Linked DNA regions of Callithrix jacchus. The main gene of each other region encodes a partner of the protein of the gene in region 2 in a complex. Links are inferred from orthologs where the notes say so. Each region holds a gene or a part of one and is shown on either strand. Other genes may lie near its edges. The genes, in order: FCHSD2, ITSN1 and AP2A2.

Evidence for each region.
Region 1: the proteins of ITSN1 (region 2) and FCHSD2 are in contact, whole or in part, in a crystal structure (PDB 6GBU), measured with the Homo sapiens proteins. The link is inferred for Callithrix jacchus from reciprocal best matches to the Homo sapiens genes ITSN1 and FCHSD2. Residues at the interface, in NP_003015.2 of Homo sapiens: Pro1076, Ile1078, Gly1098, Leu1100, Leu1102, Gln1117, Ala1118, Arg1119, Gly1120, Lys1121, Lys1122, Arg1123, Leu1136, Ser1137, Pro1138; in NP_055639.2 of Homo sapiens: Tyr576, Gln581, Thr582, Asp584, Glu585, Gln602, Asp603, Asp604, Asp605, Gly606, Phe607, Val618, Pro620, Val622, Leu623.
Region 3: the proteins of ITSN1 (region 2) and AP2A2 are in contact, whole or in part, in a crystal structure (PDB 3HS8), measured with the Mus musculus proteins. The link is inferred for Callithrix jacchus from reciprocal best matches to the Homo sapiens genes ITSN1 and AP2A2. Residues at the interface, in NP_034717.2 of Mus musculus: Asn841, Trp843, Ala844, Phe846, Ser847, Ser848; in XP_006536218.1 of Mus musculus: Glu308, Gly320, Val321, Glu324, Gln329, Gly331, Leu332, Lys333, Phe346, Gly348, Asn349, Lys350, Gly386, Ala387, Gln388.

Annotation. Positions count from the first base shown.
Region 1 is NC_133511.1:67,816,420-67,826,479, forward strand, and holds the start of FCHSD2 (F-BAR and double SH3 domains protein 2), read left to right. Parts: upstream 1-3,428; 5' UTR 3,429-3,561; coding exon 3,562-3,588; exon of another isoform or gene 3,589-4,091; intron 4,092-4,693; coding exon 4,694-4,791; intron 4,792-10,060. Other genes in the region: uncharacterized protein LOC118145596, read right to left, coding at 2,698-3,378. UniProt on the Homo sapiens protein: Adapter protein that plays a role in endocytosis via clathrin-coated pits. Contributes to the internalization of cell surface receptors, such as integrin ITGB1 and transferrin receptor.
Region 2 is NC_133522.1:39,958,690-39,968,649, reverse strand, and holds the end of ITSN1 (intersectin-1), read right to left. Parts: intron 8,941-9,960; coding exon 8,858-8,940; intron 8,539-8,857; coding exon 8,455-8,538; intron 7,676-8,454; coding exon 7,502-7,675; intron 6,271-7,501; coding exon 6,122-6,270; 3' UTR 1,018-6,121; downstream 1-1,017. UniProt on the Homo sapiens protein: Adapter protein that provides a link between the endocytic membrane traffic and the actin assembly machinery. Acts as a guanine nucleotide exchange factor (GEF) for CDC42, and thereby stimulates actin nucleation mediated by WASL and the ARP2/3 complex.
Region 3 is NC_133511.1:130,932,377-130,942,336, reverse strand, and holds part of AP2A2 (AP-2 complex subunit alpha-2), read left to right. Parts: intron 1-591; coding exon 592-693; intron 694-3,586; coding exon 3,587-3,695; intron 3,696-4,360; coding exon 4,361-4,511; intron 4,512-5,573; coding exon 5,574-5,742; intron 5,743-6,932; coding exon 6,933-7,070; intron 7,071-9,960. UniProt on the Homo sapiens protein: Component of the adaptor protein complex 2 (AP-2). Adaptor protein complexes function in protein transport via transport vesicles in different membrane traffic pathways.

The DNA.
Region 1 (10,060 bases), on a different chromosome or scaffold from region 2:
GTATTGCCCTTAGCTCTTTATAACACTTCCAAAGGAAATCATTCCAGAGAGTCAGTGCCAGTCCTGGCTTCAGAATGATGGCAAATCTCCTAAAGCCCGAGGGTCTGACTTCTTTTGTGAAGGGACTCCTAAGTTCTAGGCTCACTCATCTTATTCTGCAGGTGGGCACCAAGGCCCAGAGAAGGCCCACCAGATCCATGATAGAGGCTGGATCCCATGTCTCCCAACATCTAGCACCTTTATACTCCAGTGATCATTCCTAAGAAGAGAGGTGAAGGGAGGACAATCTCTGGGCCAGACCAGTTGCACCCAGGACTAGGATTCAGCAAATCTTTGTTAAGCACCTACTATGTGCATGACACTGCATCTGGGCCAACTACTGTTACCTCTCGTCCACTAGCCCTGTGTTGGTCTGGACCTCAGTCTTGGTGAAAGCTGATTCTATCTTGCTTAGCTCTAGAACCCCAGTGCTTGCACAGGCTGGTAACAAAGCAGTTCCTTAGCAAGAATTTTTTGAATGAATGATGAATCAATAAGCACTTATTAAGCACTACATGCCAGGCCCTGAGGTTGGAGAAATTCTATTTCATACAGCAAGCCTGAGGCCAGCATTATACCTCCATTTTACAAGTGAGGAAACAAGGCTGAAATAAGTGAATTGACTAGCACAAGGCTTCACAATAAATTGGTGTGGAGCCTAGAGCCCAGGCTAGGCTACCTGTGGCCTGGGCTCTAGCTGCTGCCCCACAGCTATCAGGACCTTGGGTCTGCATCCACCTGTTCCCTTGCCCCAGGCCTTCCCTGACTTAATTAAGGATTCTGGTGAAGGGCTATCTTTTTTTTTTTTAATACTTTTTTTCAATTCTAAGTTTCAATTCAGGTAGAAGTGCTAACCTTTGAAGGCAGAAATAGCAAGACTAGTCTCCTAGTTCATACACAGCTCTAGATTAGTCTGACTCAAAACACAGCTCTGACTCTATCACTTTTCTGTACAAGAATCTAGCCTAACTCACTGTAAACAACCTGGGTTCAAGTTCCACCTTTTCAATTTCTGGCCTTGTGGTCATCTGGCAAGTTACTTGGGTCTCTCTAGGCCTCATTGCCTTCCTCTTTGGCTGGACTGCACTTCTGAGAACAGCTGTCTGGGGGCTCAACTTCTGAAAAAACAGTCAAGCAATCCAGCTCAGTCTCCACACAGCCCCGGGACTCAAAAAACTCCCTGGGCATGGGGAAGAGGTAATCCTCTTCTGAGGACTCCAAGGGAGGCCGATAACCCTCCTCGTAGATGGTCTGGACAGAGCAGGAAGGTGTGTGTGGTGGTGGGGGGCCCTACTTAGATAAGGTGTGTGTGGTGGTGGTGGGGCCTTCTTAGGGGGCCCTCACTGGCAGATAAGGGAGCCCGAGCTCGCCTAGCCTGTTAAGGGGTAGGCAAAGTGAACCGGCACCCAGAGATCCTGACTCCCAGACAAGGGCTTCCTCTATGGCCCCTCCTGCCTCCTCTACTTTTCCTCGTGCTTATTATCTTGCACGTTTCTGTTTTAAAATAACCCATAGAACCTTCCTGCCGTGGAAATTCTAGTCCTGCTGTGTGACCTTCAGAAAGGCTTCCCTCTAAGGGCTCTTGCCTCCCCGTCTGTGAAATGGGGGCCTTGGCCTTAATGTTCTCTCGACTCCCTCTCAGCTAAGTCCGTGATCTTTGACTTGAATGCCCTGCAGTAGAGAGCCTCTGCTTCCTTTGCAGGGCGCCTTTCCGCCCTATAATCGCAACGGCCTAGCACCTGCGGCCAGCCGCAAAGCGACTTGTCCTCGCTCGCCCCCCTCGCGCACATCTAGCTGGTAGGGAGAGAGGGTGTTGAGGGACTGAGACGAAGCAAAAGCCGGAATTCTGGTATCCCATAGGCATGCTAACCCCCTCCCCACTGCAAACATTTACCCGCGAGCGTCGCCCCCCACCCCTTACACACACACACACACACACACACACACACACACACACACACACACACACACTACAGCCGCAGAGGCAGACGGAAGACGGGGGTGGCCTGTGCGCGTGCGTCGGCGCGGAGCTCTCTCCCGCCCACATGCGCGCCCCCGAACTGAGGCGCGCGCCGCGGCGAGCTGGCGGGAAAGCGCGCGGGAAGCCCCGGGCTGGCTCCCAGCGTCGGGGAGGGAGGCCAGGAGGCGTCTGGAACGTGCCACTCTCAGAGAGAAAGGGGGGATTTTCGCGTGGCGCTGGCGTTTTTACACCTCCCAGCCACCGACCAATCCGTTAGTTCCCCCCATGCCCCCTGCGGTACGAAGTCCCGTGCCGTGTCTTCTCTCCCTCCCGGCAGCCCGGGCCTGCCCCTCGAACCCCGCTCTGGACGAAGCGGTTCCCTTCGCCACCGAAGCGGGGCGCTGCGCCGCGCGGCGAGGCCGGAAATTCCCGCGGCTAGAGTGGTGGAGCCCTAGCGGGGAGCGCGGCGCCACCTTCCTCCTCCCCGGCGGGCGGGGGCGTTAGGCCCAGTGAGGGCCGGGCCGCCTGAGTGGGTGGGGTGAGGGCCGCTGCGTCCGCCCGGAGCTGCGGCGCCGGTGGCGGACCGGGAGCGCGGACAACGCGGCTGCGGCTCACCCGCCACCCGGCCGGCCGAGACCCTCGTGCCCCCGCTCCCGGGCCCCCGCCCCCTCGCCATCTCCGCCTCCTTACTCACACACCCCCGGGCAGTCCGGGCCCCAGGCCTTCCCGGCGCTCCTCCCCCTTCTTCTCACACTCGCTCTCTGGCCGGGGTCCTCCTGCCGCCCGCCGGCCTGCTCTCTCCGGGGCAAGTCCTGTTTCTTAGGCTCTTCTTCACACACGCGCGCTCGCTGGGCTATCCCTTCCTCTCTGGCCCTCCTCCTCCAGGTTCTTGCTAACGCTGCCGTCGGGGAGGGTTGATGTCCCTTCAGCATCATGCAGCCGCCGCCGAGGAAGGTAAGGGCGCAGCTTGGGGGCTTTGGGGTTCGAGGTGGGGGATGCGTATGGGGAACGCGGCAGGGGCGACCGCTGCGCCCCCTTGCCCTTCCGCAAGGGGCCGTGACCGCCCTCGCCTTGGGCTTGTCACCGACTTGCCTTCGGCTCCAGGCGGAGGGCCGGCGTGTGAGGTCCTTTCCGACAGAGGGGCGGTGGGGGCTAGTCCCTCCTCTACGCTGGAGACCCCTAGACATTTCACAAGAGTTTCGGGTGTGCGTTTGTGTGTGCGCGCTTGGCAATGCTGTGCGCTGCAAAGTGCATTCTTGGGGCTGCACCGTGGGGGAGGCGGGGACGCCCCTGCAGCTTTGCAGAGCCTTGTGCGTGTATGATTGTTTAGTCTGCACCAGCTTTGAGCCCCCCAGTCGCTTGTCGCCAGCCCCGCCCATTTGCAAATTTGCGGGGGTTTTGTTTCTAGCCTAGCCTTAGGGTTTGGCCTGCTTTTCCCACGGGGCGGCCGAAAAGAAGTTGGAATAGTCACCGCCTCCCCAACCCAAGGGAAAACAAATTTAAGGATTGACGGGTCCTGCCTCGCCCTCGGCTGAGGGGCGAGGAGGCTGTCGTGCTGTCTAATGAAAAGCGAGGACCCGGCCCTGGAGGTGCGTGGCGTGTGCACTGCAATCCAAGCTTGGGTGGCCAGGGTGGGAGTGACGGGTGCACCCGGCTTGTCAGCAGCCTCCCCATTGTGCCCTTCCTCAGGTTTCCCAGGGGCCGAGGCTGTGTCCTTGTCTTTTTAATCCTACAGATGGATACTAAATATCTACTCTGGGCACTGGGTGGATGAGGCCGTTCTGTCCTCCCCTCGTGGGCAAACATTTGCCTAACGCCTAACTCACCCGTGTCTGCTGTCGCTGCTTTCTCTCTTTCCTAATCCGGGTTTCTCCATTTAAGTGAGTCTTTCTTTCCAATATGTACCCCCACCCATCCTGGTGGTCCTGCTTCTAAGGCCGCGATTCCAGACCGACCATAACTTCAAACCCTGGGGTTCCGGCCTGGAGGGCGGGTGGGCGAGGCTCTCTGGCCAGCAGGCATTTGCTGTTCTCGCTGTTTGAAGTGGAGCCTCCACGGGGACCGGCTTGCCGGGGTAGTTTAAAAGCACTGCAAATGCTGGAAGGTCACTTTTGCTTTCTCCTTTGTGAGAAAGAGATTGTGATTTGATGCGCTGTCTGCAAGTCGAGGGCATCGTTCTGAGACAGTGTGCTTTTTCGCAGCCATTATGGAGTTATTTTTGTAGTCGATTCATGCATATTATCATGATCGTGTAAATATTGGTCATTAAATATTAGGCATTCTTAGGCTCCCAATCCCCATCCACACTCTGCTCACCTCTCCTGGTGGTTAATGTCTTTGAATCCTTTTTTTTTGAAATAGAAGACAGGCTCTTTTAAAACTCTAGGAAGACCTAGACATAGACTGAGCTTGTGCATGAAATGGAATGACTGGCAGTTTATTTTGCACGTCTTTAGTTTGTAATATTTATAGTCGTGTATTTTCATTCAACTTTTGTTCAGGCTATTTGGCTTTAATTTTTCATTAAATAAGTATCTTCAATAACTAAAACTAGATGGCGAATAATGAATGGATTTATGGTCTTCAGGGGAGAGGCGACCAAGAGACATATATTCTGACAGATGTATTTTCCTTAAGCAATTTTTTTGGGTTAAATGTGTAAAAAGACCTTAATAAATATATGGTACATTTTAGGTGAAAGTTACACAAGAACTGAAAAACATTCAAGCTGAGCAGATGACAAAACTTCAAGCCAAACATCAAGCAGAATGTGATTTGCTTGAAGATATGAGGTAAGGTTATAGTAAATAGTTCAAGGACTTCTATTTCTCTGTTTCAAAGAACCTTTGAGTTACCAAACCCCAGGAACTGATGATGGAATTTCCTTTTGGATTTCCTGCTTTAAGTCTGTTAGAACTTTGACTCAGCTGGAAATTAGAACTGGAACTAACACAATACAAACTTTTTCCTTCAGTGGGGAAACCTGTAATGCATACATGGTATTGGGGAAAAAACAAGGACCTTAAATTAAGTCTCATTAGTCAAATTATAATAATTAAAGATTTTGTTTAAATAATCTTTCCTGGGAGTTGTAACAATCATTTTATTGACCTTAACAGTTTAACCAGTTAGATTTTAAACCAACACCTGTGGTTAATGGTTAATATCTGGGGGTGAGCCAGTCAATCCCAGATGATTATATGCTCTCTTTGGGTTAGAATATGACAAATACAACTTTATCTTTGAGTGCCAAATTTAGTGAGAGGTGTGTTTATCATATTTTACTATATTATTGAGGTTACTCATTCATAGTCAAGATGACTTTGAATAGCTAAGACATCTTGCTAACATTATGAAAATCAGTATTGTTTTTACCAGAGGGACAGATGACTTATTTTAATGAAAGAAATGCCACCTATTTAACAGTTTTGTAATGCAGACTGACGGTTCAAAGATTTTCGTCAAGGGTGGAAGATGATTTCCTTGTTGAAATAAGAGTGGCTGCAATTTGTATTTCCCCTTAGTAATACATTTATCAAATTGGAATTGGGTGTGTAAGCCTCATCCTATTTTTCTGGTGGTACACTGACTTCATGTTGGTTTCATGAAAAATATTAACTCTATGGTGTTATGATAGAATTATGTGTTTGGATTGGTGTTCGTAGCCCAAAGATTTTAGTTTTAAGAATTTCCTTTTTTCCTCTCCTATACTTAACTAAGGCACTATAAGCATTTTTGCAGTATACCTGTCTTCAGGGTTTCTGACTAAGACATGTAAATCTACTCATCCAAGCTGGATATATCAAGATTGTTGTTTCCTGAAACTGAAAATTATAATTTCAATTCTTTGTCTTCCCCCTCATTATTATGACCATAAAAAATATTTAGACTTCAAAATTCCTAATCGAGGTTGTGCACAGTGGCTCACGCCTGTAATCCCAGCCCTTTGTGAAGCTGAGGCAGGCAGATCACCTGAGGTTAGGAGTTCGAGACCAGCCTGGCCAACATAGTGAAACCCCTGTCTATACTAAAAATGCAAAAATTAGCCAGGCTTGGTGATACATGCCTGTAGTCCCAGCTACACTGCAGGCTGAGGTAGGAGAATTGCTTGAACCCAGGAGGAGGAAGTTGCAATGAGCTGAGATGGTGCCACTGCACTCCAGGCTGGGCAACAAAGTGAGACCTTGTCTCAAAAAAAGAAAAAAAAAAAATTCCTTTGTGAGATATCTGAAACTCTTGATACGGTTAAAAATGGAAGGTTTTTTAACATATTAAGGGAAGTAAGAAAATTCTAGATGAAGAAAATATTAAATTTTCAGAAGCAGTTCAGGAAGGCAGAATTAGTGTGTAAGGGAAGAACCTGTGTGGGGTATGGGCAGTCAATGGTTATAATAATTCCTGTTGATTGTATCTTCTAAAGATTTCTTGATTGCATTTTGTCTCCATTTTCTCCCTATTTGTAGCTTGGTGCAGGAGCTTATGGTTAAGGATATGGACATTGGAGTCAGAGAGTCCTTTGTGTCTTAATATCTGTGCTGACTTGTGGAAAATGAATTAATCTTTGTAAACTTAAGTTTCTTCATTTGTAAAATGGGGCAATATGGGCTCTGTTCCTCAAGGTTGTATAGATAAATGACAATGCATGTGAGATGTGGCACACATCTAAGCTAAGTTGATGAAGTCTGTTGTTCCTGCTGTTGTTGCTTAGTTTGTATTATTGATGATCCATCACATTTTGCTTGCATTATAGTAGTATCCTAATTATTGCAGTAGTGTCCTTATGCCTTCCATCTCCCATCTCTCCTTTTAAATATGTCTTCCACATTGCTACCAGTTAGCTTCCTAAAAACATAACTGTAGGCCAGGTGTGGTGGCTCATGCCTGTATTTCCAGCACTTTGGGAGCCTGAGGCAGGTGGATCACAAGGTTAGCAGTTGGAGACCAGCCTGGCCAAGATGGTGAAACCCTGTCTCTACTAAAAATACAAGAATTAGCTGGGCACAGTGGTGGGTACTTGTAATCACAACTACTTGGGAGGCTGAGGTAGGAGAATTGCTTCAAGCTGGGAGGTGGAGGTTGCAGTGAACTGAGATTCCCACCACTGCACTCTAGCTGGGGTGACAGAGCATGACTCTGTCTTGAACAAACAAAAAACATTATTATAGATTATTCCTCTGTGGCCTGCTGGATAGAGGCCGAACACCTTGTTATAGTATATATGGTTCTCTGCAACCCATCTGCAAGCTTCTTTTCCTGGCTTAATTTACTACCATTCCATGCCCATGCATCCTTCCTCTTTCTTCCGCCTGCTCTGGTCACTTGGGAGATCAGGTTGTCCAGTTGTGCACTCTACATTCATGGTTTTGTGTGTGCTGTTGTCTTTGTCTGGTGGTACCTTCCTCCCACTTTTTCACTTGGCACATTCTTGGTTACCAGTAACTGCAATTTCCTTGTTCTTTGTGATCTCAAAGGATTTTGATTTTGCATATGCTCTGGCATCCTCCCTCATGTGAAGTCTTTGGGGTTATGGGCCAAGTATTGCTCATTTTCTTTATACCCTTTGGTTAGCCGGTCAAATGAATGTAACTGGCTATATTTAAATGTATCTTATTTTTTCTTAGGTGAGATACTGTGCAAACTCTGTAGGGGGCTATAGGGTCCTCTGTAGAGCTTGTGTTATATACTTTGGTTCATTTGAGCACTTTAAATACACATCCTGTTTGTTGTAGAGTATATAATATGTAAAGGTGGAGATTGTTGGTGCTCAAGGATTAACAGGTTTTTTTTTTTTTTTAAAGGAGTCATTGTGTTCTGTTTATATTAAATTAAAGGAAGTAATCCTTTTACTTTGAGTTGTGAATTGGATACTTTATTACCTGCTAAAACATGAGTTTAGGTTTCTGATTTGCTTTTTTTTTTTTTTTCAGTGACGATATTGAAAAAGTTGAAACTTGCCTCCTCTTGGTATTCATGATAACTTCAGTTGCCTGAGGAGGGAGGTGATCTGGCTTCTCTTGTCTGCCCTAGCAGATGAAATGATCTTTTAAAAATTCATTGAAAATCTCTGAACTTAGGTGTTTTTTGTTTGTTTTTGAGACAAAGTCTTACTCTGTCAGCCAGGCTGGAGTGCAGTGGCGCAATCTCAGCTCACTTCAACCTCCGCCTCCTGAGTTCAAACAATTCACCTGCCTCAGTCTCCCTACTAGCTGGGAGTACAGACATGAGCCACCATGCCCAGCTAATGTTTTGTGTGTTTTTAGTAGAAACGGGGTTTCACCACTTTGGCCAGGCTGGTTTCGAACTTCTGACCTCAAGTGGTCTGTCCGCCCCTTCAGCCTCCCAAAGTGCTAGGATTACAGGTGTGAGCCACCGTGCCTGGCCTGAACTTGGGTTTTTATATGAATTAAGTTGTAACAGATTTTGCTTGCTTTTCTTCTTTTTAGACTCCTATATTCTCCTTCCTGAAATCCCACATAGAGTGCTCCTTCTCACCAGTGCCCCCTGCCAGTTTTATGGTCAATTTGAATTAGTATGAATTCACTCAGAAAAGTGCAAATACCTTTTTAGTCTTAAAATTAGTAGTAGAGTTTTTTTTGTTGTTTTTAAATTTGAGGTAGAGTTTCACTCTGTTCCTCAGGCTGGAATGCAGTGGTGCGATCTCTGCTCACTGTAACCTCTCCTCTTGGGCTCAAGTGATTCTCCCATCTCATCCTCTAGGGTAACTGAGACTATAGGTATGTGGCTAATTTTTGTATTTCTTGTGGAGATGAGGTGTCACCGTGTTACTCAGGCTGGTCTTAAACTTCTGGGCTCAAGCAATCCTAACATCAGGCCACTGTGCCCCACTTGAAAAAATGTCAGAAGTTTTTTATGACATTGAAAAGGTAAAAAAAAAAAATCCACAGCACATTAGACTGTAAATAGAATATTATGCTGAATTTTGTCTATTTCTTCCCTCTTACGTCTCTTCTTTTTTGTTTTCCTTTTTTTTTTTTCTTAAGAGACAGGGTATTGCTTTGTCACTCAGGCTGGAATGCTGTGGTGTGATCTTAGCTCACTGTGTCCTTTTCCTCCTGGGTTCAGGCAATCCTTCTGCCTCAGCCTCCCGAGTACCTAGGACTATAGACACGTGCCACCATGCCTGACTTATTTTAAAAATTCTGTAGAGACCAGATTTCTGTTTGTTGTGCAGGCTGGTCTTGAACTCTTGGACTCAAGTGATCCTCCTACCTAAAGTGCTGGGATTACAGGAGTGAGCTGCACTACTGCTGCAACCCACCAGTTCTTATGTTACAGAATTTTGAGGGGAGGAGACCAATTATGATACAGTTTTTCTCCTTTGTTCTCCTCCCCTTCTTCAGTTCATTTGTTCTGTGGATGCATTTGGAAGCTAGTATGTTGGGAGTGAAGTATGAGATGAAAAGACAGCTAATTTGTTGTTAATCAGGGACATTCCATACTTTGAGGAGGTTTTATGCTGATGTGTTTCCTGTTGACTTTTGCTGTCAGCCGTGGACAAGTACAGTTTACTTTCTTTTTAGTTTATTATATTTCTTTCTCTTTGCTTTTTAAGACCACTTACAATGTTTCTACATACTAGAGCCTGTATACTTTTCTTTTTAGGATTGTTTATCATATGCTATGCTGAGTAGAGTCAGTTAAGAAGTTTTTTGCAGTGATCCCGAATATAAAGAACTATCTTCTTAGAAGACATTTTAAGGAGGTCATTATCTAATATGGGAAAATTACTGAATTTTAGTCAGTTGGATATTATCATGTTTGTTCTTTTTATAGATGAAAGTGGAAACTGAGGCACAGTGAAATGAGGTGAATTATATTGGTGAGGACCTAAGCTATTTGTCCTGATTTCCATTCTACTGCACTCTCCCCTGTATCTGTGTTTCCCAAGCTTTTAACCAAGGAACTTGTCCAGTTGTAAAAAATATTTTGCCTATCAAAAAGTATGATATATTATCAGGAGGCTGGCCTCCTATGGTGGCTCACGCCTGGTTATCCCAGCACTTTGGGAGGCCGAGGTGGGTGGATCACTTGAAGTCAGGA
Region 2 (9,960 bases):
ATATAGGCTGGCACAGAAAATAGAACAGAATCCTATTAACTCACGACTCACAAAACACCCCTGACATCCAGTAGGGGAAACTGACCCTGAAATATGACAAGCACACATAGTGTCAAAAACATCATTATGTGGTTATAATCTGGCTCCCCCAGGGCTAGGGTAAAGGGGGTTCCTTTGAATGGAGGAACTGACTGAGGCTGCACCGAACTAAAGAAGTTACTGGAAGGTCGATGTGAAATTTTTAAAATAAGCGTTGGGTGTTATTTTAATGACTTCAAGTTAGTTTGCCATTAAGAGCAATGGCAAAAATCGCAATTACTTTTGCACCAACCCAATGCAATTAAGCTTGGAATGCCACTAAGGCAGGCCCATCCGAGCTGGCTCTCAGCTTCTTGGAAGGTGTCCTGGACCAGGATGGGGACTCCCTAAATGAACAGTACATTAACTATTAAGATGTTTCTGAGCGATCACAACCCAGAGATGGATTGTCTAGTGTGCTGGTGTCTGGGTTTTAAGGCTCCCAAGACAGACAGCTGTTACATGTTTTCTTTCATGTGGACTAAGCTCCCACGCCCATCAGGAACTGATTTTTTTCCTCTGGCTGCTGCTGATATGAAGTTATGTATCTTAGTGGATCTTGATGACCTGCAGACATATCCTGGATCTGATACAGCGCAGGGTGAGGAAACAGGAGTTCTAGAACTTTCCTTTCCTCTAGCTCAAATAAACAACTGCTTTCCAAGTACCAAGAAGCAAGATCCTTACTCAGAAAGAGGAAGCTGTAGGGTGTTATTAAGTTGACCAGCCAATTACTTCCTCGGAGTCAGATCCAGCAAGAAGAGGTCTGCATTCGTTCTTTTTTTTTTTTTTTGAGAAGGAGTCTCTCTCTGTCACTCAGGCTGGAGTGTAGTGGCACCATCTCAGCTCACTGCCACCTCCGCCTCCTGAGTTCGAGCAATTCTCCTGCATCAGCGGGAGTAGCTGGGATTACAGGTGCCTGTCACCATGCCCAGCTAATTTTTCTATTTTTAATAGAGATGGTGTTTTGCCACGTTGGCCAGGCTGGTCTCGAACTCCTGACCTCAGTTAATCCACCTGCTTTGGCCTTCCAAAGTGTTGGGATTACAGGCGTGAGCCTCCATGCCTGGCTGGTCTGCATTATTTCTTTGAAGAACCCCGCACAAAGCAATGGTTATCGATCGGGACCATTCAAAATAGAATAAAAATATCCAAGGGCTTGAGGGAAATATTCCCTCTAGAAGGCGGGCCCTGGGCTACTTCACAGGAAGTACAAGCCACTGTAACAAGGAGAGCAGGGACTGAGCCATGTCTTTATCGGAGACCAGGCTGGCAGGCACATGGGAGTGGCAGGGGGTGCGAACTGCAAACGGGCCTAAGGCTGCTTCTCCTGGAATGGGCTGACCTGAGGGGCCCCTAGAAGGAAGAAGTTGCAGGGAATACATTCCTTGGTCCCCAGGATGGCTCTAATCAGGCTCCTCTTAAGCTTGTAACATTACTGGGCAGAAGAGCTTGAGGGAGCTGCCCCCTGAGGGGCAGCTGTGCGTTCTTTGCACCCTCAGTTTTTCTGCTGCTTTACAGTATCACCTCCTGAGTGCAGCCTGATGGACAAGGAAAGCCCACCTTCCTATAGAAGGGGCCCAGGCAGGTAGGCAATTACACTGTAGCTGGGGATAAAAGAAAGAAAAGAAAATGGCCCTATTTTATCAAACATTGAACATCCTTAAAAGGAACGGAGGGTCTGTGTGCAGGAGGCCACTAGATCCATGTTTTGGTTCCTGTGTGGCAATTCCTGACCCTACCTCACCAGTGCAGGTTAGGGCTGTTCTAGGAAAGCACCTGCCACTTATACTTAATACAAGCCTGTTTCTGCCCCTGAGATCTGCCCAGAACAAAGGCTGCCCATCAATCCTCATCTGAGCTCCGCCTTCCCAGAAGTGGATTCGTCTTCTGTGTCATTTGAACGAATGAACTGGAAACAAAGAAAAACACAAGCATTTGGTCTCACTGGGCCACTCCAAGGAAAAAGAGGGAATGAACATCGTAACTAGACACTAAGCAGCCCGTGGGCCATTCCTGGAAAGTCTCTAGCAGGCATTTCAGCACCCTAGGGTGCAAAGAGAAGGAGGTGTTAGTTTTCCCTGATGCCTCTTCTGGTGGCTCAGACTACACTATCTGAGGACTCGTCACGCCACTGGTTTCTAGGGCTACAGGTCATGCTTCTGCCTGGTGTGAGCTTAAGCTCTTCTATCTAGAAACAAGACAAAGCCATCCAGGTGCATTTGTTTTCATCCCACCTTCCAGCATAGGATGCTCTAAACTTGCAAACAAGCTATCTGGACCAAGCAGACCCATTGCTAATTGCACACTCACCTCAAGCCCAAAAGGACCCTGTTATATCCGAAGGACACCAGATGTTCATGTAAAAGTGCTAGTGTCTCCTATGAAGCACATCACTAACCTTGAAGAGGAGCGGAGAACTTAGCAATCAAATCAAACCAAATCAGATCAAATCATATTTTATGTTTCCAACAGAAATTCTTAAAGTCTTCACACATACAAAACACAATTTCTTCTTATCTATCAAAAAGGCCCAATCAACTAGAAAAAAAACAACTTGTAGGAGATAGAGAAGTCTTTTTCTGCCTAAACAAAGTACTGGCCTTTTCCAAAATATACTCCAGGAGCCCCTCCTTTCCAGTAAAGTCAGAAGTGCCTTGTCCATTTTTCCCTTTATCTTCAGCCGCATCGGATTCTAGAACATCCTCGTTCTGTGTGGTCAGTGGCCTTACACTTGTCCTAGCCAGCTGCTGGAGAGACAGCCGGCCTGCTCAGCCTTGGAAGGCAGACCTGCATTTGTCCTTCCCTGCTGGTGCTAGCACCTGACTCCTCTGCCACCCCAGAATACACCCATGGAGGACAAGGTCACCGAGATAAGACACAATGTGGGTGGTCAGTTTACTCATTTTCTGATGGGATTTCTTTTCCCCAGTTAAATTCAGGTCTGCTCTAGATGAAATCAGTTACTTTCATACACTTAGGCCATACTTTAGGTTGTTTAAAGAGCAAAGAAGAAAAAAAAATGCCTTCTCTTACATGAATGTTCTTTGGGCACAGAGTTTTTTCCTCTGCTGTCAGAGGACAGGGACATGTTAACCAAACAAACAAGGAAATCTGGCTCTAGTTTCTCAAGCATTCCTGGTGACCTGCACCTAGAAAGGTCCCTCTTTCCACATTAGGCCAGGCCTGGATCTGAATGAACCACATCTTCAGGCTGTAATGATCACAGTGAACCTGGTTCCAGGAGACGATGCTGTCCCTCTACCTGCCAGGATGATGCCAGCAGCCAGAGGCCCTGCCCCAGAGGGACTGGGATGTGAACTCTCCCTTCTAGAGAGCTGCTGAAGAAGGCTCAGCCCAAAAGGTCCCGGGGTAGTTCAGTTCTCGGGGATGACTGAGGGTCGCTGGGTAACCCTATGACCAGGACAGCCCCTTTGTGGGCTGAAGGAAATCAGCGTCCGCGGGAGGAGCTAGCAGTGTAGTTCACAGCAGAGGGGCACTTAAAGGGTGTTTAAAAGGCTGGAATCAGGATGCCAGGATGCAGTGGCCTAGAGAACTCCTATATCTAGAAAACAGAGCTAGGAGACAGACTCCTTGTTGGCAAGGGGCATTTAATTTCTAGGAAATATAGCCCAGATGATCAAGAAGGTAGAGGTGAAGGAACAGTGGGACCCGAGGGTTTGAGACTCCATGCATCACCCATGTTCCTCAATCCCCTTGACACAACTCAACCGCATGTCATGAATCACAGCTGGATCCGAGGGCCAGCCAGACTCATCCATAAGCACGACTGGTCACATGACAAAGAACACCAGTAAATACAAGGACACGGATCCAGAACTTGCTGCACAGCAGGAGCTTCTCAACAATGCTCAACAGAGTCACTTGAGGAAAAAGAGTCACATAATGCTTTCTCATGCTACATTAATTCCAATAATAGGATACTAGGAGTGGGTGACCTGGGACCTAAAAGGATTGTTTGTCATTGTGCATACCACACGCTACCTACACGAACAATGATGACCAACACTAACACGCAAATAAAGTCAATGAAGAAAAGACCGAACAGAAAACAAGAAGAGATTGGAATGGAGACCCACACTGCCCCATTTACACATACTTTTTTTTTCTGTCATGGTAACATGTCTTTCATAAATACACTGAACAAACTGTATTGGTTAGAGAGATAGGAAAGCATGAGTTGCATGTCTGTTTATAGATTTAAAAGTTTCTTAACAACATCAAAAAATATAAACAAAGTATCTTAACCATGTTTTCTGCTGGGAAATGGTAAACAAATGCATGCCTGAAGTTTAATTTGGTCTCTAATATGTTCAGTTGGAAGTTTCTAACTAAAGGGTATATCTGCTTGTTTCAAAAAATACGTATGTCTGTTGTTCTTGATACAAAATTCTACGCTATCTTCAATAAATAAATAATAAGGATTTCTTTAAAGTATGAAATGTAAACTTTGTTGTCCTTTCCAACACACACTTTTAAAACATTGCTTGAAATATGACCGGGCTGTCATGGGAAATTATAACACTACACATTCAGTTCCCAGCAGAGGGGGTACTCTGCCACGAAGCTGATGCTATCACTTGGAAAGCACTTTTACAACCCTATTTAAAGTCTAAGGACCGACAATCAAAGAGAAGACCGTCTACTGCAGGAAAGCTAGACTCCAGTACCTACAGAACATGCAAAGAACATTTCATGACCACAACAAACTAGGGTTATGAGAACATGAACATGCAAACAAGATACGGCCCCCACCTTTCATTAGCAAATCAAGTCACTATCTAACTAACCAGACTATCTCCTGGCATTTAAGGGAAAAAAAAATTAAACAACTCAAACCAAACAGCTTGGCACATGGTCATACACTCCTGCCTCTCGCAACAAGCACATTGCTGCGAGGCTGGGGTGGATGGGGTGGAGGGTGGGAAAGTGTCTTAGGTCTTCGTCCCAGGATGTGTGGGGCTTGCATGCTCCTAGGGTCTTTCCCCCACCACATAATGGATTGCCATCATTTTCTTCCCCAACCTCTAGCTTGACATTTTCCCTTTTCACGCCTTGGGGATCTAGGACATGGCTTCTGGGGAACGTACCAAAGACAGCTGTTGAAATTTCCCACCACAGTCAGGATTCAGCACATTCACGCACAGAACTCCTGCTGCATGAAATATCACAGGACCTCCAAGCCAAAAGGGATTTTTTCCAACATGGCTGCCGACCGAGACAGTTGTCAAGTTGCCTTTCTGGTGACCTGCAGTGACCTGATCCAGCACAGGGTGACTTTCTAGATAATGACTTTCTGTGACCATATTCCAAGCATGCTGGCAATCAGAACTAAATCCACGCAACAATGCACCGGTGTGTTTTCATTGACATATATTAATACAAGGTCTAGAGGGGAAGGAACGGCTATAATGGCGCACATACTGGAAACTTCCATAGACCAGCTCTTGAAAGAGCTAAGCCAGGGCCTGATCAGACCGCCTCACCGAGTGATCAGCTCCAGGCAGCATTTCCCAGTGGGAGAGATGGGATTCTGAAGCAATGACAGGACCGTCATCAGTTTCTAAACGCACACCAAGGACTGGGCATCGTAGGCCAAGAAGTCTACTTGGGGACTGGTGGATGTAAGAAATAGGAGGGTTATGTGAGTTCTCCAAAAATATAGACATTGCATTTATAAATCTATTTTATAGTAACCAGACCATCCCTCAAGCCTGGGAAGGGGCTAGATTCCCAACTGCACTCTTTTGAGACCTATGGGATTTCAGCGACCCTAGAAGCCATAATGAGATCTGGAGTGAGGACAAAGGAAAACACAGCTGAGTTTCATAAAACAGGAAATTATTTTGGGGCAGGGAGGATTGTCGAGAATTATTCCTAGGAGCTTTGAGGGTCCTGTCTTTGCCGTCCCATATCCCTGTGACTGAACACCAGATGGTGGTTTCTTAGAAAAGGAACACTATTTTCAGACAGTATGTGCTGCCGTGGGCTGGGACCCTGCTGAGCACATCGAGCCCGCTACCTATGGTTCATCGAACAACTGCAGGTCCAAGCGGACCACAATCTCTCCCGTGGGGACTTCGTGCAGCAGAAGACACTTCGTAACGGGACCCTTGGAGCCCTGGTCTTTCTTGATGTCCGCCACGCGGATCTCCGTCCGGCCCAAAAAATCTGAAAAGAGAACAAACAGACGCAGCTAAGAGGGACCGTTCCCCCTCTTCAAGGCATGTGTCTGTCATATTGGGACCTCCTGATGAACTGCCACAACCTCCCTTCTTCTCTGGGCTCTGACGTAAACCTAGGATTTCCAACTCACCCCCCAGCCGAGTGGGGTGACTTAAAGCCCCTGTTACTAAATCTATACCAAATAAATAGGAAGAGGGTGAACTACTCAGCACCGTGTAGCTGTGATCTCTCTCTGTGAGTGGCTCACAACCCCTTGGCCCATTCATTCACTGGAAATTTGTGTCTGAGTGCATGTATTCATCCATCGTGCAGCTGGGGTCTGTGAGACAGACTCCAGCAACAGGGTCTTGCTTTGTCACCTGGGCTGGAGTGTAGTGGCATCACTGCACTACTGCCACTACAGCTGCACTGATGCTCACTGCAGCCTCGACCTCCCAGGCTCAAGCGATCCTCCTGCCTCAGCCTCCCAAGTAGCTGGATCTACAAGTGCATGCCGCCATGCCTGGCTAAGTTTTGTATTTTTTGTAGAGACAAGGTCCCATTATGTTGCCCAGGCTGGTCTTAGACTCCTGGGCTCAAGCGATCCTCCTGCCTCAGTCTCCCAAAGTGTTGGGATTCCAGGCCTGTACCACCATGCCCAGTGGTGATTTTTATTGGGTTGAGGGAGAGACAGGTAGTTTCTTGGAATCATGGGGCCAAGACTATTCTTTTCCCAGCCCAAGCAGAAAGAGAAGGCTGGTTGAAGAAATGATTCATCCAACACGACTGCATCCGTTTGCCTACTTAACTGCCACAGAAATGCCACCCAAAGGGACCTGGCCGATTCTGAGGCTACTGCTGTGGGCTAACATTCTTGTTCCATTAGCCAGTTTCAAACATTGCCAGCACAGCTTTTTTGCCAAGGACTGAAGAACTATGCTGAGGCTCTTAAATACACCCGTCTCCAGAGTCACTTGCTTTAGAAAGCAGAAGATGGTAGTGTTTGCCCAGGGCAGCTGGCACAGTTCTAGACCAAGCATGCTCTGTCCACATGTGATGAAACGCCTCCAGAAGACACCTCCAGGGGAGACGGAGCCTCGTCTTGTGCCAGCCAGCCTCATCTCTTGGGAGGGAAACCCCAGGAATCCTGGCACCAAGTCCCCAGGTAAGAAAACATGAACCCACACAAACTAGCACCAGGGAAGAAGGAATCACCTCAGGGCCGCATTCTACTCACCATCTGGTGAAAACTGGTCCCTCTCAAACACAGTGATGCAGAGGACTTCCTGCTCCAGGTCTCGGATGAAAAACTGGCAGTTGGAGTTCCACTTGGGGTTTAGAGTGTCCTGGATTGTCTTAGTGATGTGGCATTGGGAACCCATGGTCACCTCGCAGTATGGGTTGCTCTTCCCTGGAGGGAACAAAAGCCTTTACCAGGTGGAAATCACACCTCATTTTGATCCCCACTCTTTTTTTTCTTTTTTTTTAGATGGAGTCTTGATCTGTCGCCCAGGCTGGAGTGCAGTGGTACGATCTCAGCTCACCACAGCCTCCACCTCCTGGGCTCAAGTGATTCTCCTGCCTCATCCTCCTGAATAGCTAGCATTGTAGATGCCTGCCACCACGCCCGGCTAAGTTTTCTTTTTCTTTTTAGTAGAGACAGAGTTTTGCCATGTTCGCCAGGCTGGTCTTGAACTCCTGGCCTCAGGTGATCTGCCTGCCTTGGCCTTCCTAAGTGCTGGGATTACAGGTGTGAGCCACCACGCCCAGCCAGCACCCCTCTTAATAACTACCACGCTTAATAAGTGGCAGATATTTCACCTGGATTTCAATGGAGACTCCAGGTGAAAACCCCCAGAAGTCAGGTTCATCCTTAAACTAAGCTCAAATAATTAATTACTTGAGTGGGCTTTGAAACTAGGCCCTTCCTGTCTCCTCACTTTGGCCTTATTCTGTGTCACAGCCACTGTGAATGCCGCCACTCAGATCCCTTGGAGAAACAGAACGGTAGGAAGGATTTTAAAAAACAAAAAACCTCCAGGTTTTTAACAAGTGCTAGTTAAACCAATTCGGGAAGGAGATGGGGAGTATGGAAATAGCACATTCAATTTGGAGCTGGGTGGGGGTGTGGGGAACGCAGACCCAGCTTCCAACCCTAAAGCAGGAGCCTGGACCACCTCAGAGCCTTACCATGTGACCGACAGGGTTTCAGCTCAATGCCTTCGACCACGTTCACCATCAACCTTCCAATGCCTGTTGCCCTCTGGGAACGGACTATGATGGCAGGAAAAACGCAAAACGCTTCATTTGAACATACAATGCCTTTCCCATGTCTGCGAGCCTCACGATTCATGTCATGGACCTCTCCCTACTCAAAAGTAATTCTCCCCTCCTCTCCTTAAACTCTGGCTTCCTTGCTCCTGGCATTTGCCCTCCATCCCCCGTTCGCATCTCACCCCAAGCTCTCTTTCATCCCATCTCACGCCCCTCCTCTAGGTCCAGGGGAATCTTCTATTTGGAGGATTCTCAGCCCAGCCAAATGGCCCTCCCTCCTGCCCAGCTGTGTGGGACACCCCACAGGGCCATGCATTACCCAGGTACGCTTTCTCGCGCTTCTTTTTCTCAGTCTCTATGTAGAGTTCAGAAGCAGCTTTGATTTTCTGCACCCAGGCAGTCCTTGGACAGAAAAAGACAGAAAGTTGCCAAACAGAAACTCAGGAAAAGGGCTTCAGGTCTGTTCAAACACTGTTGCCAGGACTCTGTTTTCTTTGTTCATTTGATTTTAACAACAAAGGCTTGGGAAAGAGAATCTGATTTTATGTCACGTGATGCTAATACTTACTCCTGCCGTCAATAGTAAAGGCATGAGGGCCATTTCCATGGATGACCTCAAGACCTGAATTCATGTTCCAGGGGAAGAAAATATGTGATAGATGCCGTCTTGGAGGCCACATCAGGACACAACTCCTCTTCCTTCCTTACTAAAGGCCAGCACATATTTGCCTAACCCAGGCCAGAAGGATCTTGTTTATGAAATCACCCAAAGGAAGAACAAAAGCCACTTCCCAGATTGGGAACCACTTCACATGAAAGAGCAGAATGCCCCGGAGGGAGACATTTGTGGCTGCTGTTTTCTCCTTCATTTTTTCTGAGAACCATATGCACAAAAGCTTTAGCCAATTTTCTTGCTTGGTGCAAATGCTCTTTGGAATGATGCTGGCCTTGTGTCAAGTTCACCCTTCAGAAAATGATCTGTTTCATTTGGCTCCAGGGCAGAGTCTTGAAGACAGATTGAAGCAAAATACCCACAGCCCTAGGTTCCAGAAGCCCTATTTAAGTGAGCCCAGGTGAGGAAGGGTTTGGGGCTGGGTGGTCCTATTAACTCCGAAATCGCTTTCTATTGCTTTCTGCCACCTGGGAAGCCAGGGGAAACGTGAGATGCTCCGTTTACCTCAAAGAATGCTACATGTTTCAAACAGAAAAAAGAAACTGCTGTGTGCAGTGGCTCATGCCTGTAATTCCAGCATCTTGGCATTTTGGGAGGCCAAGGCAGGTGGATCCCTTGAGCCCAGGAGTTTAAGACCAGCCTGAGCAACATGGCGAGACCCCAGCTCCACACACACACACACAAAAAAAAAAATACAAAAAATTAGTCAGGCTTGGTAGCACATGCTACCTGGGGGGCTAGGGTGGGAG
Region 3 (9,960 bases), on a different chromosome or scaffold from region 2:
TGCCTGGTGCTTTGGGGAGGACCCCTTGTGCCCTGGGGTCTGAATCTGTTCTCAGTGAGCCAGAATAGCATGGAGGGAGGACTTGGGTGCTGGGCCTGGTGGCCTCATCCAGACTGTGGTTCAGTGACTGCCAGGACCACTTTCCAAAAAGGAGAATGGAAAAGGACTTCTTCAGCTGCTTTTTTCTGCGGTCTCACTTCTGGGTTGTAAAGATTTAAATCAGTCTAAAGGTGGTGTCTCCTGCTGCAGTGAACTTGGAATGATTAGATCAGAGGCACGAGTGCAGGCGACAGTGGAGGCCAGGCCAGGAGAGGGCAGCACGTGTGCAGCCCCAGGCTTGACCTGCGTGGCCGAGCGCCGCCCTCTGGCTCTTCACACTGGTGGGATCTGGGCTGAGCATAACTGAGTTTCCCAGCTTTTAAGGAGAGGCTGGCAAAGAAAACCTACGCTGTCGGTCTCTCCAAGTAGGCCAAAGTGGCCGTGGGCTGCTGGCATGTTGCTGGTAGGCTTCAGGTTTTGTTTGGAAGATGAGTTAACACGAGCGTGTAGCTTCCAGTGTTTTGACTGTTGTGTGTGTGCGTTTTCTTTCAGGGTGTGGTGACTGCAGCCACGAGTCTGATCACCACTTTAGCACAGAAGAACCCAGAGGAGTTTAAAACCTCCGTGTCTCTGGCCGTCTCTAGGCTAAGCAGAGTAAGTCTGTCTGGGGGAGCATAAGTGAGGGTGGGTTTTGTCTCATTCATTTATTAGCTTACTTTTAGAATACAAGGCATGGGGTCTGTTTGTAAATTCGGGGTGAAAACCCACTTGGCTTCTCTTTCAACCTTCTTCTTAATTCAGAGCTGTTCCGTCTGTGCGGAGCCCAGTTCCCTGTTCCTGTCGTGTGAGCGAGCACCCAGTACCACTCGGGAGGAGGGGTGGCACCCAGGGCCCGTGTCCCCCGCGGGCAGGCGCTGCTGGCTCTGCCTTGGGACCCACCGGCTGGCGTGTGCGCTGACGCCTGCTGTTGAGCTGTGTGTTTGGGTTTTTTGTAGGTGGACCTGCAGCGCACATTCTTGTTTTGTTCAACGTTGTGAAGTGTTTGTTTTGTGTGCAGCGGTTACACGTTCATTTCTGATGCTGCATAGAATCGGTTGTGTGAACTGACCCCTGCAGTTGACCTCTGTCCTGTTGAACACTTAGCTCCTTGTCCTCTGGGGCTACTGTGTCCCCTCTAGCGTGAGCAGTCTTGGCTGTCCCTTGGTTTCCATGCACACGAGATGCTGTGGGCGTCTGTTGAGATGTGGTGTGGCTCAGTTAGGGGCTGCAGCTCCTGAACCTGAGGAGACAGGTGGTGCCAGACCAGCCTCCCGTGTGGTCTGCCTGGCCTTCCCAGCAGTAGGAGGCGTGGGCACAGCACGTGCTAGTGTTAGCCCCTTGGGATTTTTGTTTTGTTTTGTTTTCTTGACATAGAGTTTCGCTCTGATGCCCAGGCTAGAGTGCAGTGGTGCAGTCTCGGCCTCCCGGGTTCAAGAGATTCTTCCGCCTCAGCCTCTTGAGTAGCTGGGATTATAGGCTGCAGCATCACGCCCGGCTGATTTTTGTATTTTTAGTAGAGATGAGGTTTCACCATGTTGGCCAGGCTGGCCTCAAAGTCCTGACCTCAGGCAGTCCGCCTGTCTTGGCCTCCCAACTGCTAGGATTGCAGGTGTCACCATCGCAGTCTGCTTCCTTGTGATTTAAATCTGCCTTTTCCTGATTATCAGTGAGGTTGAGGACCTTTGCATGTTGATTGGCTGTTTGGGTATCTTGTTTTGTGCCGGGCCTGAGACTCTTACCCATTTTTGCCCTGGGTCGTCTTGTCTTTGTGAGTGTGACGTCTGCTCTAGAATGTTGTGTTGCTGGCACGCTTGATCACGTCAGAGAAGTTCCTTTCTCTGTTTGCCAAAGTTTCTATCATTAGCTGGTAAAACCGTTTGAATCTGGAGTTTTCTTTGTGGGAAACTTTCTGATTATGAATTCAGTTTACTTTATAAGTGGAGAAATGTGCATATTTTCTTCCTCTTTTTCTCTTTCTTTGAGTCAGTGTCTTGCTCATTACCCAGCCTGGAGTGCAGTATCATAATCTTGTCTCACTGCAATCTCCACCTGGGTTCAAGTGATTCTCCTGCCTCAGCCTCCCAAATAGATGGGATTACAGGCGCCCCCCCGCCCCCCACCGTGTCTAGCTAATTTTTGTATTTTTAGTAGAGACAAGGTTTCGCCATGTTGGCCAGGCTGGGTCTTGAACTCCTGACCTCAGGTGATCTGCCTGCCTCAGCCTCCCAAAGTGCTGGGATGACAGGCGTGAGCCACCGCTCCCAGCCTCCTTTCCTTTGGGTTGAGATGAATTTTTGTTGCCTTTCTCTTTATATTTGTTTCAAATATGTACATTTAAGGCTATACGTTTTTCTGTGAGCCTGGCTTTAGCTGCATACGTGTTTGAGGGACGGCTCCCACTGGCTGTGTCTCTGTCACGTAAGTGCTGTGATTCTTGCCTTTTCTGCTTTGCATTTGTGCCTTTCAGCCCTCTCTTTGACAGGAAGCCTAGAGCTCACCTCCCTGCAGCAGGTGTCTGTGACCCCCGTCTGGAATGGTGTATTTCAGCTTAGGGCAGGAGTCAGGGTGAACTTTTCTGGATAGGTTCACCTAAAGCCTAAAAGTGTCTCACATGTGAGCTTTGTAGGAAGGGAGGAACTACCCTGACCTCCTGGAAGCAGGAGTCACCGGGCTGTCAGTGGAAATGGATGGACGTTGTAGTGATAGTCGTTTGTTCAAGAGGTTGATGGAGGATCTGCCAAGCCAAGGGCCACGTTGGACAGAGAGATGGGATGTGAGTGAGGCGGGCAGATGCCTCCTCGAGCTCAGCGCCTGGGCGGCCTGTGGGGGACCAGGGGCTGTGGGGTTGGGTCAGGGTGCCAGCTTCTTGGGGGTATACTTCTTCCTTCTGAGATGCCTTGCGTGCTCTCTCTCTTGAGTTTTCTTTTTTTTTTTTTTTGAGATAGAATGTCAGTCCGTCGCCAGGCTCCAGGCTGGAGTGCAATGGCACAATCTCAGCTCACTGCAACCTCCGCCTCCTGGGTTCAAGCAGTTCTCCTGCCTCAGCCTCCTGAGTAGCTGGGACTACAGGCGTGCACCACCACATCCAGCTAATTTTTGTATTTTTAGTAGAGACGAGGTTTCACCATGTTGGCCAGGATGGTCTCCATCTCTTGACCTGGTGATCCACCCACCTCGGCCTCCCAAAGAGCTGGGATTACAGGCGTGAGCCACCGCACCGGCCCAAGTTTCATTCATGTTCCAGTGCACAAAGGAAAGACTGGAGATTCAAATCCACGTGCTGTGGTATCTTGTACTGAGTTCGGGCTGCCATTCAGCTGTGCGGCGTGTGTGCCGCCTCTCACAGTGACCCCGAGGGGTCCCAAGCAGTGTCAGACGCTCCTGGCGTGTGAAACAAAACCGTTTTTCCAGCTCAGGCCTGACTGGAGGAGTGAATGTGGCTTTTCCTTGGGTTCCCGCAGTGGGGACTCGTGCTGGGCGTCGTGTCTCATTGCCTGTGCTCTTACAGATCGTGACGTCCGCGTCAACAGATCTTCAGGATTACACTTACTATTTTGTCCCGGCTCCCTGGCTGTCTGTCAAACTGCTGAGGCTGCTGCAGTGCTACCCACCCCCAGGTAATGCGCGGGCGGAGGCTCCTGAAGCTGCACCAGCTGATTCCCTATCTCAGATTCAAGTGGCTTGTTGATGACTTTAAGAAGTGTGTTACCGACCCCGCCTCCTGATTCGTGGGCCTTGCTGCTGGTGCTGCCGTGCGCCCTGGCTTTCATGGAGTTACTGCAGAGCCTATACTTTTGTTAGGGCTTGCGTCTGTTTGTGCTTTGATAGTATCAGATCTGTGCAGTAGGTTTTCTTTCTTTTTGAGATGGAGTGTCCCTCTCTTGCCCAGGCTGGCGTGATCTCAGTTCACTGCAACCTTTGCCTCCAGGGTTCAAGTGATTCTACCACCTCAGCCTCCTGAGTAGCTGAGATCACAGGCACCTGCCATCATGCCTGGCTAATTTTTGCATTTTTGTAGAGATGGGGTTTCACCATGTTGGCCAGGCTGGTCTTGAACTCCTGACCTCAGGTGATCTGGCCACCTCAGCCTCCCAAAGTGCTGGGATTACAGGTGTGAGCCACCGTGCCCGGCCTTTTTCAGTTTTGTAAATGCTCCTAGCTGGGGACACAAATGTGAGTGAATATTAAAAATGCTCTCACAATACGTGGGTGCAGTGGGAGGGTGGGGTGGGGTGGGCTACGGGCCACGGGAGCCTGGTGAGCACCGTTCTGTCTTGCCCAGAAGACCCCGCAGTTCGAGGCCGCCTGACGGAGTGCCTGGAGACCATCCTGAACAAAGCCCAGGAACCGCCCAAGTCGAAGAAGGTGCAGCACTCCAACGCCAAGAACGCCGTGCTCTTCGAGGCCATCAGCTTAATCATTCACCACGACAGGTGGGTCGGCCGTCTGCGGAGGCGCCTTCACCTTGTGCACGCGCACATGCTCCTTCTCACTGGCACGAGACTGGGCGGATCACGCCTAGTTTATGCGGTCCACAGGCCTCTTCTTCATCCTGCCCGTGTGCTCCCTGCCTGACTCCTTTCTTCTTTCTCTGCAGCCAGCCCCTCCTGCTCTGAGCTCACTGTGGATTGCTTAGCTGACCATGGTCTCATCCCCGACAGGGGCCTTCTCCTCCTTCCCCGAGCATCCCCACTCCTGATGGGCCTCTCGTGTGATGGAGCAGAGAGGAGACGGGGAGGGCGGGAGGTGTGCGCAGACGTGTCCTGTGGCTTTGCTGGGCGTGAAGCTGCACTTGGTGGGTCCAGGGTGCTAGGGCAGTGCTGGAGACTTGCTTTAGGGTCCTGTGAGAATGAGATGGCAGCTCCCAGCAGGCTCCTGATCACCAGGGAACATGCCAGGCTGTGGGCAGAGGCTCTCTACAGCTAGTGGGCACCACCCATCGGCTATTGTAGCCTTTTTACAAATGTAGTTTCCCATGATGAAAACGCAGTCCGAGAGTCATGCTTCAGAATTGGGAGCTGCTAAAACTGAAATTTCCCGTTTTAGAGAAAGCTCTGTTGTTACATGAGGAGAAGCCACATCCTGAGGAGACAGTAGGGTCGGGGTGGCAGCCACGCTCCCCACCTCCTCAACCTTCTCTCTGCCCTGGGCTGGTGCCTCTGGCTGACAGGCCATTGGGGGTCACAGCTTGACTGGCCTCCCGCAGGCCTGACACAGATTGAGGCGCAGGAGATGCTGGGAAGCCTCCGGCAGACACACGGGCTGTGACTCTCACTGTGGGGAGGCACAGAATGGACGCAACACAGATGTCAGGGGTAGGGGTCAAGCGTCTACATTCAGGGAGGCCCCTGGATTCCCACCTGAGCAGCATGGTGGCGGGGAGTGTGGTGTGACTTTGCTGTCTGCCATCTGGACCCGTCAGGGAATGTGGGTTCTGTCCAGTTTGTGTTGTGTGTGTTGAGGAAACTCCCCCCACTTCCTCTCCCTCCACACAGTGAGCCGAACCTGCTCGTCCGCGCCTGCAACCAGCTGGGCCAGTTCCTGCAGCACCGGGAAACCAACCTGCGCTACCTGGCCCTGGAGAGCATGTGCACGCTGGCCAGCTCTGAGTTCTCCCACGAGGCCGTCAAGACGCACATCGAGACAGTCATCAATGCCCTGAAGGCGAGTCCCTGTCCTCGGGGTCTGCTCACTCCCTGCGCAGGTGCCATGGGTCTTCCCCTGAAGGCTGGGGGACGCACTGCTTCCTGGCTCCCCGCAGAGATGGACGTGGTGTTGGTGCTGCTGGCCTCCGCCTGGCACCTGCTGTCAGGCGGGCGCACCACTGTTCAGGGCCGTGCTGCCTCCTGGCTAGGCTGAGTGTGGCATCCACGGCAGCCCTCTCCCTGCCATGGGCAGGCCCCCTTGTGCCGTCCTGCACGTGCACAGTCCTGACAAGTAGAAATGGTTCTTCTTGGTAGAAGGATTAAGTTTTTTTACCTTACCTCCAAGAAAACCCCCCTTTTGCAAAGGAAACTCACTTTTTTCGAGGATTAAAATTTCAGAGTTGGAAGAGCCCAGTTGAGGTTGTCTGTTGTCAGCCTTTGTGAGTCTCCAGAGCAGCCCCTGAGGGTTTGCGCCATGTGAGGTCGCCTGAGGTGTGTCCACCACATTCCCTGTCTGAGCCAGCCTTGGGCTGTGGCTGGGCTGCTCCCACTGCCCCTGTGTGTCTGCGTGTGGCTCATGGGTGTCCCGGCTGGCATACAAGGGCTTGTGGTGGCATTTGGTCTTCTGGATTCTTCTTGGTCTTGGACGGTGTGTGTTTTACTCACTCCCTGCTGTCAGAAAGGCTGACACTCATTTGCACACGGCCAGCATTAGGGCTGCTGGTGGCCACTCCCCTGTCCTTTGCTGGTAGCAGAGCTGTGCAGGCCTCAGGCTTTCTCATGCTGTAGAGCCTCTGGGGGGCTCATCAGCTCAGGCTCTGGGGTGGGATATGAGAACCTGGGACAGCTCCATGGCAGTGCCAGAGGCAGTGGGGTCTTCGGCCACACGGAGGAGAGGCCTTGATGGCCCGCACCAGGCTGTGTGCTCCGTCCTAATGTAGCTGGCTTGTGCGGAGGGAGGAGGCAACGAGGGCACTGGGCTCGATTCTGGGCTGTCCAGACCCACGTGCCCCAGTGCAGGGAGTGGGAGGGGCCGGTGCGTTGGGGAGGGAGGACTGTGCATGGCTGGAGCCCATTGCCTGGACCTGGATGTGTGTGTGAGAGAAGCTCAGAGTGGGCATTGAGACGCGGTGCTGGGCCTGTCCCCCAGCTGGTCCCCAAGCCTGGGCCTTGCTCCTGTGGCCTCTTACTCTGTGCCTTGTTCCCCAGACCGAGCGGGACGTGAGCGTGCGGCAGCGGGCCGTGGACCTCCTCTACGCTATGTGCGACCGCAGCAATGCCCCACAGATCGTGGCCGAGATGCTGAGCTATCTGGAGACGGCCGACTACTCCATTCGAGAAGAGATTGTGAGTTCTGCTGGCCTCTGAGTCCTCTCCTGCCGCAGACGCGAATCTCACTGCAGGATTTCCTTAGTGCTCTGCGATTCTGTCCGGCAGGGCTTGGCTGAGAACCCGTGAGATGCTGGATACAAGGCTCCTCTGCCTCTGTTTTAGTTCACACTTTCAAGCTGGGCGTGGTCCCAGCTTACAGAGGCTGAGGCGGGAGGATCACCTGAGGCCAGGAGGTTGAGGCTGCAGTGAGCTGAGATCATGTCATTGCACTCCAGGCTGGGCAGCACGGCGAGACCCTGTCTTAAAAAAGTTAGCATTTTTGGTGGAGTCATTTGGTCTGGAAGGTAACTAAAATGCTGCCCTGTGCGGCTTCTCTGGCCTGCCTGTCCTTTTGGTGGTGGCACTGCAGCCCCGGGTCTTAGTGAGGCTGCACCGACTGTGCTGGGCTGCACAAATCTAGACTTCTCTGGGCAGAATTCTTCTTAACTGTGTTGCATTCGAGCCCCTGAATTAACCCTTCGTGGCTTGGCTTTTGTGTGTGTGTCTCTTGATCTTTGGAGGGGTGTGATCTAGGCCATAGCTTTGTTTCCCGCATTGTTTTTATCACAAAGTAGGTGTGCACGCCTGCCAGATGGCGGAAGGCTGAGCATGACTGAAAACCTGAGGGCAGAAACCCTTGTGGAGGCCACATGGTCAGCAGAGCAGAGGGCCTGAGGCCTCTCCCATGCTCACAGGCCTCTCAGGCTCACTGTGTCTGTGGATGGTGGGGTTTAAGGGGGGGCCCGTGTGTCCTTGTGGGAGGCTGGCGGCTGTCGCCAGCCGGGACCACAGCCTCTGGTTGAGGCTGAGACACCGCCTCTGTTGTATAGGAAGTGCTTTGTTATTTGTCTTTTTGGGCAAAGTGCAGCTTGAGGCCTCCTTGGGAGCTTTGCCAAGAGCCAGGGTTGGAGTTGGTGGCAGGTGACAGGGTTGCCCTGGGCAGCTGTGTGTGGTCATGCCCAGGTGAGACTCTGAGGTTTTCAGGGATCTTTGAGTGAACGGAGGGGCTGGGTGCTGAGGGTGAAATGACCACAGACTGAGCTTCAGTGAGGCGCTGCACCTACAGAGAGCAGGGGCCAGGAGGCGGCTCTCCCGCTGGACTGCCCACCTCCAGGACAGTGGGCCTGGGAGGGTGAGGGGGATGGGACGGGTGGGCTGACTCCCAAGGGCAGGGCCCATGGGGTGGGTTTGGTGTAGGGCAGGGCTGAGTGGGTCCTGTTTGTGGAGTGGCCAGGCAGGTACTTGTTGACTATGGCCAGGGGTCCCTCTCTGGCCTGGCTGGGGCAGTGTGTCCTGGTCTTGGCACCTGTGGTGGTGTCGGGCTGGCTCTGGGGACGGCTGTCACAGGAGCCTCATTCCTGATCCTCCTGAGTGTTCTGAGCAGACAGAAGCAGTGTGCGTCTGAGTGCTGTTGTGCAGATTTTGAGGTCCCGGGCATTCGTCAGCCCGGTGTCTGCTCTCGCCCTTCTATGCAATGAGCGGCAATCCTGAGCCGGCTCCTGCTGTGGGGAGTAAAACAAGTGTGATGAGTGACCTCAGCTGCTCCTGCCATGAGGAGTAAGACAGGTGTGATGAGTGGTGACCTCACGGCTCCTGCTGTGCGGAGTCAGACAGGTGCTGCGTCTTGGCCCGAGTGGTGCTCCCCACACCCCATTCCTTCAGCCAGGCATGGCAGAGTGTGTTCTCTGTGGCTGTGCCAGGTGCTGGGTGTCCACACCGGACCTGGCCCACTCCTCCTCCTCTGCACCTTCCCATCCGTGGAGGGGCATGGATTAAGAGCAGGGCCGAGGGTCGCTGTGCCGTAGGTGGGATGGCTGGAGGAAGTGCCCCATGGTCCGGGGCTTCAGGGGGCATTACACTCTGGGGGCGCTGTGTGGACTTCTGCAGGAGGTGGGAGGGGCCTGATCTGGAGAGGATGATGCTGCAGGGGCCACTGGGAGGGCAGAGCAGCAGTTTATGGAGGGGTGGTGGGTGGCTCAGCACAGGGTAGGGAGCAGGGCATGTGAGACGGGTAGACGGGTAGGTGGGGACCCTGCCAGTGAGGTGTGAGGGCCCTGTGCACAGCCCCGGGCTGAGGCAGGGCTCAGAGGCAATGCATTTTGGAATGATGCTCTGGAAGTATCATGGAGTTTTTCGGGGTCCAGGCTCCAGGGAGGGACTCTGGGGAGGCACAATCATCAGCATTTGAGAGGCCAGCAGCAGGGCATGGGGAGGGGCGGCAGGGCGTGGGAGGGGGCGTCAGGGCATTTGGGGGGTGTCCTCGGGAGGTGTGTGGTCTTGACGCCTGCCAGCATTGGTGTTGGCAGCTGGTGCTGTTGGAAGGGGCTTGGTGCAAGGCGAGATGACTTTGGGAAGATGAATTTGGTGTTGGACAGCCTGGCAGAGTTCCATGCGTGTGGCTGCCACGTGGGTGTGGGCTGGGCAGGCGCCTCCAGGTGCCTGGGGGGTAAAGGAGTGGTGGGTCTCCCGTGAGAGTGAACCAGAGAGGGGAAGAAGGGGTACCCCCAGGTGAGACTTGCAGGAAAGATTGGCTGGAGCAGGAGGAAACCATCAGAGAAGTGGCTGCCAGGACCCCAGGGTGGCACGGTCAGAGGGCGCTGCGGCCAGGTGCTGGGGCTTCGGGAGAGGAGGGCCCAGGCGGGAGATGGCCTGGCTGCGGTCGTGGCTGCCTGTGCGCTGGGCTCTGCCTTTTCCTGGGATTCAGGCTGGGAATGTTAAACTTTCTGGGCTCGTGGCCTTTTTTTGAGAATTTAGTGCAAGCTCCTTGTGTGTCCCAAACTTCTGTAGACACATAGGGGCTTCTGAAACCCTCACTTTGACGTTGGGTGATAGTTTGGTTTTGGGATTGCCATGGCCTGCAGGTGTC